2 linked regions of the Pelodiscus sinensis genome follow. The protein of the gene in region 2 interacts with the protein of the main gene of each other region in a pairwise test. Links are inferred from orthologs where the notes say so. Each region holds a gene or a part of one and is shown on either strand. Other genes may lie near its edges.

Evidence for each region. The genes of interacting proteins can lie anywhere in the genome.
Region 1: the proteins of RALGDS (region 2) and KRAS interact in a two-hybrid assay, tested with the Homo sapiens proteins (3 studies listed by BioGRID and IntAct). The link is inferred for Pelodiscus sinensis from reciprocal best matches to the Homo sapiens genes RALGDS and KRAS.

Annotation. Positions count from the first base shown.
Region 1 is NC_134711.1:118,850,385-118,854,132, reverse strand, and holds the start of KRAS (GTPase KRas), read left to right. Parts: upstream 1-914; 5' UTR 915-922; intron 923-3,748. UniProt on the Homo sapiens protein: Ras proteins bind GDP/GTP and possess intrinsic GTPase activity. Plays an important role in the regulation of cell proliferation.
Region 2 is NC_134732.1:15,952,529-15,956,276, reverse strand, and holds the start of RALGDS (ral guanine nucleotide dissociation stimulator), read left to right. Parts: upstream 1-1,360; 5' UTR 1,361-1,874; coding exon 1,875-2,060; intron 2,061-3,748. UniProt on the Homo sapiens protein: Functions as a guanine nucleotide exchange factor (GEF) activating either RalA or RalB GTPases and plays an important role in intracellular transport. Interacts and acts as an effector molecule for R-Ras, H-Ras, K-Ras, and Rap.

The DNA of each region.
Region 1 (3,748 bases), on a different chromosome or scaffold from region 2:
CTGAACTGCCAGTTACATTGTAACCCTTTGAATTGATTTCAGAGAGCCTTTTACAAATCAGCAGCCTCATTGTCTCTGCTATGAAACTAGATAAGGACTTTACACTTATTCATATGTATATTGATTTTTTAACCATTTGTAACTCTTCTTTTTTCCCTTTATTAATAATTCTTAGATTTATTTATTAAGGATTAGCTAACAGTGTGATTTTAGAGAAGATCTGGGTTTGCTGTTGAACTTGAAGTGTCTGATCCTTTGGGACTGGCAGAACTTTATGTATGGTTAACAGGATTTCCAGTAACCTCTCACTATGTTAGACTTGGTTGTTTAGATGGGAGCCAAGGGCTGGAATGCCTAAAGAACACTGTGTTTGGCTTTGGTGGAGCTAGTTATAGAATAAACCCACTAGTTTTGGGGATTGTGTACCCCATTTCTTATAGTCTGCCCTAAGCGTGGTATTTTCAATGTGGCCCATCCATGCACCCCAGTCACAGTTATGGTTAACAACGCTTTATGGTGGAAAGGTGAACAGGTCTGATGAAGGGCCATGTAAAGTTGGTAAAGTCACCAGGATCACACTCTGTTCTAATTCCACATATACAACCTCCTGGGATAAGCTTGCCACTCTTTCTCCATTTCCACTTATAGCATTAATGAGGGTTACAATGTCTCCTATGCTGAGTCCATCTTTGAAAAACTAACTTTCTTCCTCAGCTTTAAAAATGAAGACAAGTTAATCATTTGTGAGATTGCAGGAAGCAAGGGGCAAACGCTGTTTGTGTGAATACAATGGTTTTCCGGCGGGAACAGCAAAAGGAAAAGTGAGATCTTATGTAGGAGTAAAGGCAGGCCTGGGCAAAATACAGCCCATGGGCCAGATCCCTTCCTCCAAGCCACTGGATCTGACCCGCGGAGGCAGCGGGGAGCCCCAGGCAGGCTCATGAGCTTGCCCCGCATTCCCGTGCGCTGTGCAGAAAAGTGGCTGCAGGGCTCCATTTTTGTTTTGAACCTGGAGGGGAGAAGGGAAGTTTTAGGAGCTGCACTGCCCCCAGCACATTCCCCTTGGCCAGTTTTTGGCAGAAACTGGCTAATGGGAGCTGCTTGTTAGACTAACAGGCAACTAAGAAGAATCACACCCCTCTCTTGGGCTCAGTTATTCATGAAGGTCATGGCCAGGCAGGCAGGCTGGCTGACTGGGAAACATTTTAAGCTCTGCAGGCAGGCAGGCAAGTTTGGCAGCTGACAAGTAAGTCTGTTGGCCACAGCCTGCTTCTGGCAACCCAGCCCTTTCCTGCCCAAAATCTCTGCCCCTCCCCCCCCCACTCAACATACCCAAACCCTCTGTTCCCCTCTTACACCCATACCCCCTTCCAGATCTGGCACCGCAATCTCCTGCCCCAGATCACAATCCCCTCCTACCTTAGGTCACATCCCAAACCCCTGCACTCTAGTCCCCTGCCCTAGGTCACAACCATCTCCTTCGCCCAAACTCCCTCCCAGACTCCAGTCTTCTTGCTGCACCCCAGTCCCTTACCCAAGCTCCCTTCTGCACCCAATCTCCATTCCAGACCCCTCATCTCCATTAATATCATGGAAGAGTGCGTTCCTTGACCACTTTCCAAAATCTTGGTGTGGCCCCCTGTCAAAAATTATTGCCCACCCCTGGGTAAAGGGCATAGGGGTGCTGGATGGACTTTTGGGGACAGGTTCAGACAAAAGCTGGCAGTCACTTCAGGTTTCTTTGGCCAGGGATTTTGAAACATAGATCCATTTCTGGGAAAACACATCTAGGTAACAAACCCATGATGTTAGCTTTTTGAAATAGTTTGCTTCTTAGGTTAGAACTGTAGTAGAAGTTCACTAAATCACACTTCACTAATCCTCGCACCCCATCATTTGCACACATTGGACTAGATTCTGATATTGCTTGTTGTTTTTTACATCAGTTTAACTCCATTGACTTCCGTGAAGTTGTTTTCATTTACATTGTGAGATCAGAATACCCAGCAATTTCTCCCTGTTTTTCAGCAATCATTTAACACCGTGGTCCCCAACACGGTGCCCACGGGCGCAATGGCGCCCGCGGGGGCATTTCCATGCGCCTGCCAGGTGCTCGGGGCTGGCCTGGCACCGGGCGCAGGGCAGGGGGAGCGCCGGCCCCGGGCGCGCGGCGCAGGGCGGGGGGAGCACCGGCCCCGGGCGCGCGGCACTGGGCGGGGGGAGCGCCGGCCCCGGGCGCGCGGCGCTGGGCGGGGGGAGCGCCGGCCCCGGGCATGCAGCTATGGGGGGGCGCCCCGGGCATGCGGCTATGGGGGGGGCCGCCCCCAGGGCGCAAGTGTCCCCGCCCCCTGGCGCCCGGCGGGCGAACGGCCCCGCCCCCTGGCACCCGGCAACCTTGAAAGGTTGGAGATCACTGATTTAACAGAAGCCTCTGGTGTGGGTCTCTGTTACTTTCACAACATTCACTATGGAACACTGATACTTCATTGTATACTATTATTAAAACTACAATGGTCAACCAAACAAATGCATTCTGTGATGTATTTTCCTTGATTTTTTTAACCCTGTTTGCTCATTTACTACTTAATTTGCTAAATTCAGTAATACTGTGACATGGATTACTCGGTCATTAGTGAAGTTCCATGTGACGTGACAATGTTAAGTCTACAAAGCTAATTTTCCATGTTTAATTTGTAATCCTAAAGCCTGTCACCTTAGAAAGGAGGTTATTAAATACACATGCACACACACTCAGTGTAGGCCTACTTTAGCATAGGCAAATTATCTGAATTTCATGCAGACTCAGCACTGAAGAGTGAGTGAGGCCAACATTTCCTTTGGGCAAGGCACTGAAAGGAAATTGGAGGAAGGTTGCACAATAAGTGAACCTTCAAAGGAAACATGGAGTTGGAGAAAGGACTGCAGGAGAGGGAGCACAGATTATAAAGAGAATGAGATTCAGAACTGATGAATTTATGAGAGTTAATGATGGACAGCTGTAGGTGAGCAAAGTGGGGTGGATCTTAAAATATATATTCTTGTGCCGGGGGGAAAAGAGTTGGAAGGAAAGAATGGATTGTGTTATGTGAGAATGGAGAAAATAAGTAAAGAGATTAATTGCATAGAAAAAGGGGAAAGTAGGGACAGGGAGACTGTGGATTTGGGAAAAGAAGTTGTGGATTTCAGGGATTAGGAGAAGTAGAAGGGAATGGTGAAGGAGAGAGAAATTTGGAATCATGGAGAAAAGAAAGTGAGGGAGAGAGAAGTAAAGAGAGAGAGACTTCAAAATATAGAAAGGGAGCAGTGGGAATGGAGATATTAACCATATAGCATGGGTTACAGAGACGTGAGGCTGCTTCTTTATATGTCTGTGTTTGGGCCTGGGAAATGTGAAAGGGCATTTAGTGCTTGGCTTTGTGTGTGTGGCATTTATGGGTAATTTAATATAATATCATTTGCCAATTGGCAAGTTATTCAGGTAAAGAATACCAGATATATACACAGTAAACATGTTAATTTAATATATAAAATGATTATATACAAGTGTCTTAAAATCTACTCTAACTGTACATTGTATTTTTAAAATTTCCAGAGAATGCCCTTCAGGACGCATTCTCCTCCTCCGCACCCCCATTCCTATTTAAGTTTGGTGATTCCTGATAGCTCCCCAAAGCCTCCCATTTCCTTTTGGCTAGCTATGGGCCTACTCAGGGCCATGAAACATCTGAAAGTAATTAAATGCTAATAA
Region 2 (3,748 bases):
TATTCTTTCAGCTGTTCAGAAAACTGAGACATGAAAGTCCATTTGGGATTAGAATTCCATGTTTGCAGGATTGCACCTTTTAGCAGCCGTGACAGCTAATGAACTGTTTTTCCTGGTTCCCTTTGTACTTATAATAGTTACAATATGTGGATTCAGCGTCCCTTGTTTGAAGGCTCCAACCCCCTCCCGGCTCAGGCACTGTGAATCTTGTACTGAGCCAAATTCAGCTCTGCTGTAAACCCCTTTACATGGGAGTCTTCACTTTAGCTCCTTGATCTCAGGCCTTCTGCGCGCAGGGGGGACCCTAGGAATGGCCATGCAGGATCCAAGCAAGCCCCAGTCCTGTTACTAGTTTGCTGGGAGGTCTTGGGCTATTTACTTCAGCTCCTTGTATCTCACCTTCCTCTTCTGAACATGATGGTACTGACCAAGACCTGCTTCATAGGTGGGCAGCTGTGTGTAGTTAGATTGTATGCCTCCCAGCATTTCCAGTGGCCAAAGTGGGACATGTTTGGCCCCTGGGGGTGGAAGGCGTGTGTGTGTGTGTGTCATCCGCTGCCCCAGTGGGTCTGTCCTGGATTCACCTCTCAGCAGCTGTCCTGTGGGCCTGGCTGTGCCCAGCTCCCTACGCAGCACTGAAACCCTGGGCACCAGGGACCAGGTTGCAATGCCCAGAATGGGGACCAAGCCCAGCCAGCCCTTTGGGACAGGAGCTTTTTCAGCAAAGAGATGGGAGTTTCACGGGTCAAAGCAGGGACTATAGGGAGAGATGTGACTATTCAGTGTTTTGAACATACAAGGTGCTGTCTAAGGGTTAATCTCTCTGCAGTCTCGTCTGTAGCACAAAGCTGGCAGTGATGTAACTAAATCAAACTTAGGCGTATTCAGAAACAGAATTATTATTATTATTCAGCTTGGGTGGTGCAGACCACCACCCTCCTTGTGCTAGGTCCTGTACAAGCACATGGACAACAGACAATCCCCGCTCTATGGAGTTTATCTTCTTGGTTTTCTTGATTTGATTTGATAATTTACCAACCTAAATTAAATCAGCTTCAGCCAGGCATGGGGGGGGGGGAGGGGGGGGCTGAATCTATCTGATTGGTACGGCTGGGACTAGATTGATTTTAAATAGATTAAACAAGGAAGAGTCTTGTGAAGCCTTAAAGACTAACAGCTGTATCTGAACATACACTTTTGTGGCTAAAAATCACGGTCAGGCATCGAAGTGGTTTTTACCAACCCAAGTTTGGTTCGTCTCTAAGATGCCACAGGACTCCTCCTTGTTTTGACAGACAGACTAGCAGGGCTGCCCCCTCTGGGACTGAAATAAATTGAGTGACGGGGGCGAGGGGGGCGCTTTTCTGTTGCAGACCAGCCCTGCCTCTGGCTGTGCGCAGGCGGCTGTGTGTTTCTGCCATTTCGAGCTCCCTGCCGCTGGAGGGGCTGGTTTTCAAGAGCTGCCGCCAGGTTTCGCAGGGAGCCGAGCTCTCCCATGGAAGGGCCTGACTCCCTCCAGGGCCCTGCTTCCGAGGGTGCCGCAGCCGGGAGGGCGAGATCCTGACAGCGGCGCTTTGGAGAGCCGCGCGCTCCACCTCCCCGGCGTGGCGCTGTGTAGCTCTCGCCTCCCTTCCCCGCCCCCTGCCGGAGTGTCAGCGCGGCTCCGGCTGCCCTTCCCCTGCCAGTCCAGCGCCTGGCTTTGCCGGCTCCCGGCGCAGCAGCGCGGCTCCCCGGCGTGGGTGGGAGCGGGCTGCCCGGGGCTTGACAAACCCGCTGCGCGCAGCCAGGAGCGCGGACGCCGCGGCGGCTGGGGAGCGAGGCAGAGCCGCGCCGCGCCGGGTCCGCATGGGGGGCTCGCGTCCCGGCGCCTTCCCATGGTGAACCGAGCGCGGGCGGAGCGGCGCCATGCCGAGGCGGGCAGCCCGGAGAACATGTTCGAGAGCTCGCGGCGGACGAGGAGCCTCTGGGACGGCGTGAGGCTGGAGGTGGCCGGCGAGAGCAGCAGCCCCGTGGTGCTGCACAGCTTCACCCAGCTCGACCCCGACCTGCCGCCGCTGGAGGTGAGGCGGCGCCGGAACCTGGCCCCGGGCGAGCCTCAGGGTGCGTGGGTGGGTGAACATCACTGGTGCAGTGAGCTGCTGGGTCTCAGCGGAGCTGTCTGGCGGAGCCGCTGAGTCTAGAGCGGGCATCGCTTTGCCAAGGTCCAAATGTGCTGGGCAAGGTATAGCCAAGGGCCAGACACAATAAAAACAACCCCCCTCGGCCCCCCAGTAATTGTAAGTCAATCAAAAGATTTCGGGGTCTGTTCGAAAGCACATGGTGGTGGGGCTGTGGCCCGCCTGCCTCTTGATTAGGCTGGTTTGGACAGTGTGAGCCCCTGCCCCACAATTTGTGTGCAGGCTTCGTGTTTCATTCTTCTCTAAGCGACCCCCTCTTTATGGAGGTCAGATTCCCCTTGGATTTGGTGCTTTTGGGTTGTTGACATATGGCTAAAACACTGGGAGGAAGGGGGGGTCTTAGCTGATTTATGTTGCAGGTGATCATTGAGTGTGTGGTGTCATTTTACTCACTGTAACCACGGGGCATGGGCATGCTGCCTTTTCTCAGCATAGGGTCCCCCAGGCTGGTTTGCAGGTGGTAGGAGTTTGTACGGTCTCTGCCCAACAGGTTTCTGATGCTGGTTTATGTTGTGCATCTGATGCCCAGAAGCTGAGCCCTGGCATGGACCGGGAAACTGAAGCATATGGTGCAGGCTGCTCCGGAAGGAGAGGAGCACAGTCGAAAATATTCTGGCAGTTCTTTTTGCTTTTATGTCAGAATGGTAAATAGCTGCCCTCTGTGATCTCTTTACTCCCCTCTTATGCCATTATCTTTCTGGCAGGCTTGCTGCCAAGCTGGAATATCTATTAGGAGAAAGCAGAGAGATGCGCGCCATCTGATGCAGCTAGCAGAAGGGAGCAGAGAGCTAGAACCAGGGCCTTTTAAATATTTTATTTGAGAGTCTGGCATCCTGCTGGAGGCTTGCTGTACCGTCTGCTCAGACTCTAGCTGCCTGTGAAGGCTTCGGGCCTGCCCAAGTTGCAAAAAAAGGACCCAAGCAATATCCTCCCCCGCTGTGGGGATTGGCTTGTAAGACACTCAATGGAGGATGAAAAACAGCCATACTCTAAGTCTAAGGCACGACCCTGGATCTTTCTAGGACGCACTGGCCCTCTGTGGCTCTTGCTGGCTTCAGATCACGGGTTTGCTGGTTGGAATTGCGGCTGTCCTTCTAGGGGGATGAGTGGCACACAAAGCAGCCTGCTTTTTGCCAGCAAGGAGTTGGGAAAACGTGGGGAACCCTAATCGAATGAGCAGTTCAGGGAAGGGAGATTGCATAGCCCAGCATAGCATAAGTAAGGGAACATGAGGTGCTCAGGTCAATGTTGGAGACCCACAAAGCATCTCTTGGTATGTCTCAGCAAGCCAGGTCTATACCCATCTACTGCTTCTCAGTTCTCTGGGTCAAAAAGAGCATTGTGCCCTTCACCTGCTAGGATAGTGACTTTGGTGCAAGGTGGTGTATGTGTTCAGGAAACTTCCACCCATCCCTGGATAACTAATGCTGCGTTTCACAGCTGGCTCGTTCGTTTTGTCTGGTTCTGTCCATTGGTTGGATAGAGGAAGTTAAAGCATGCACCTGTGCTCCCGAGGTGAAGAAGAGGTTTAAACCAGAACAAGATCCATTTCCATTAGGACTTACAGCCAC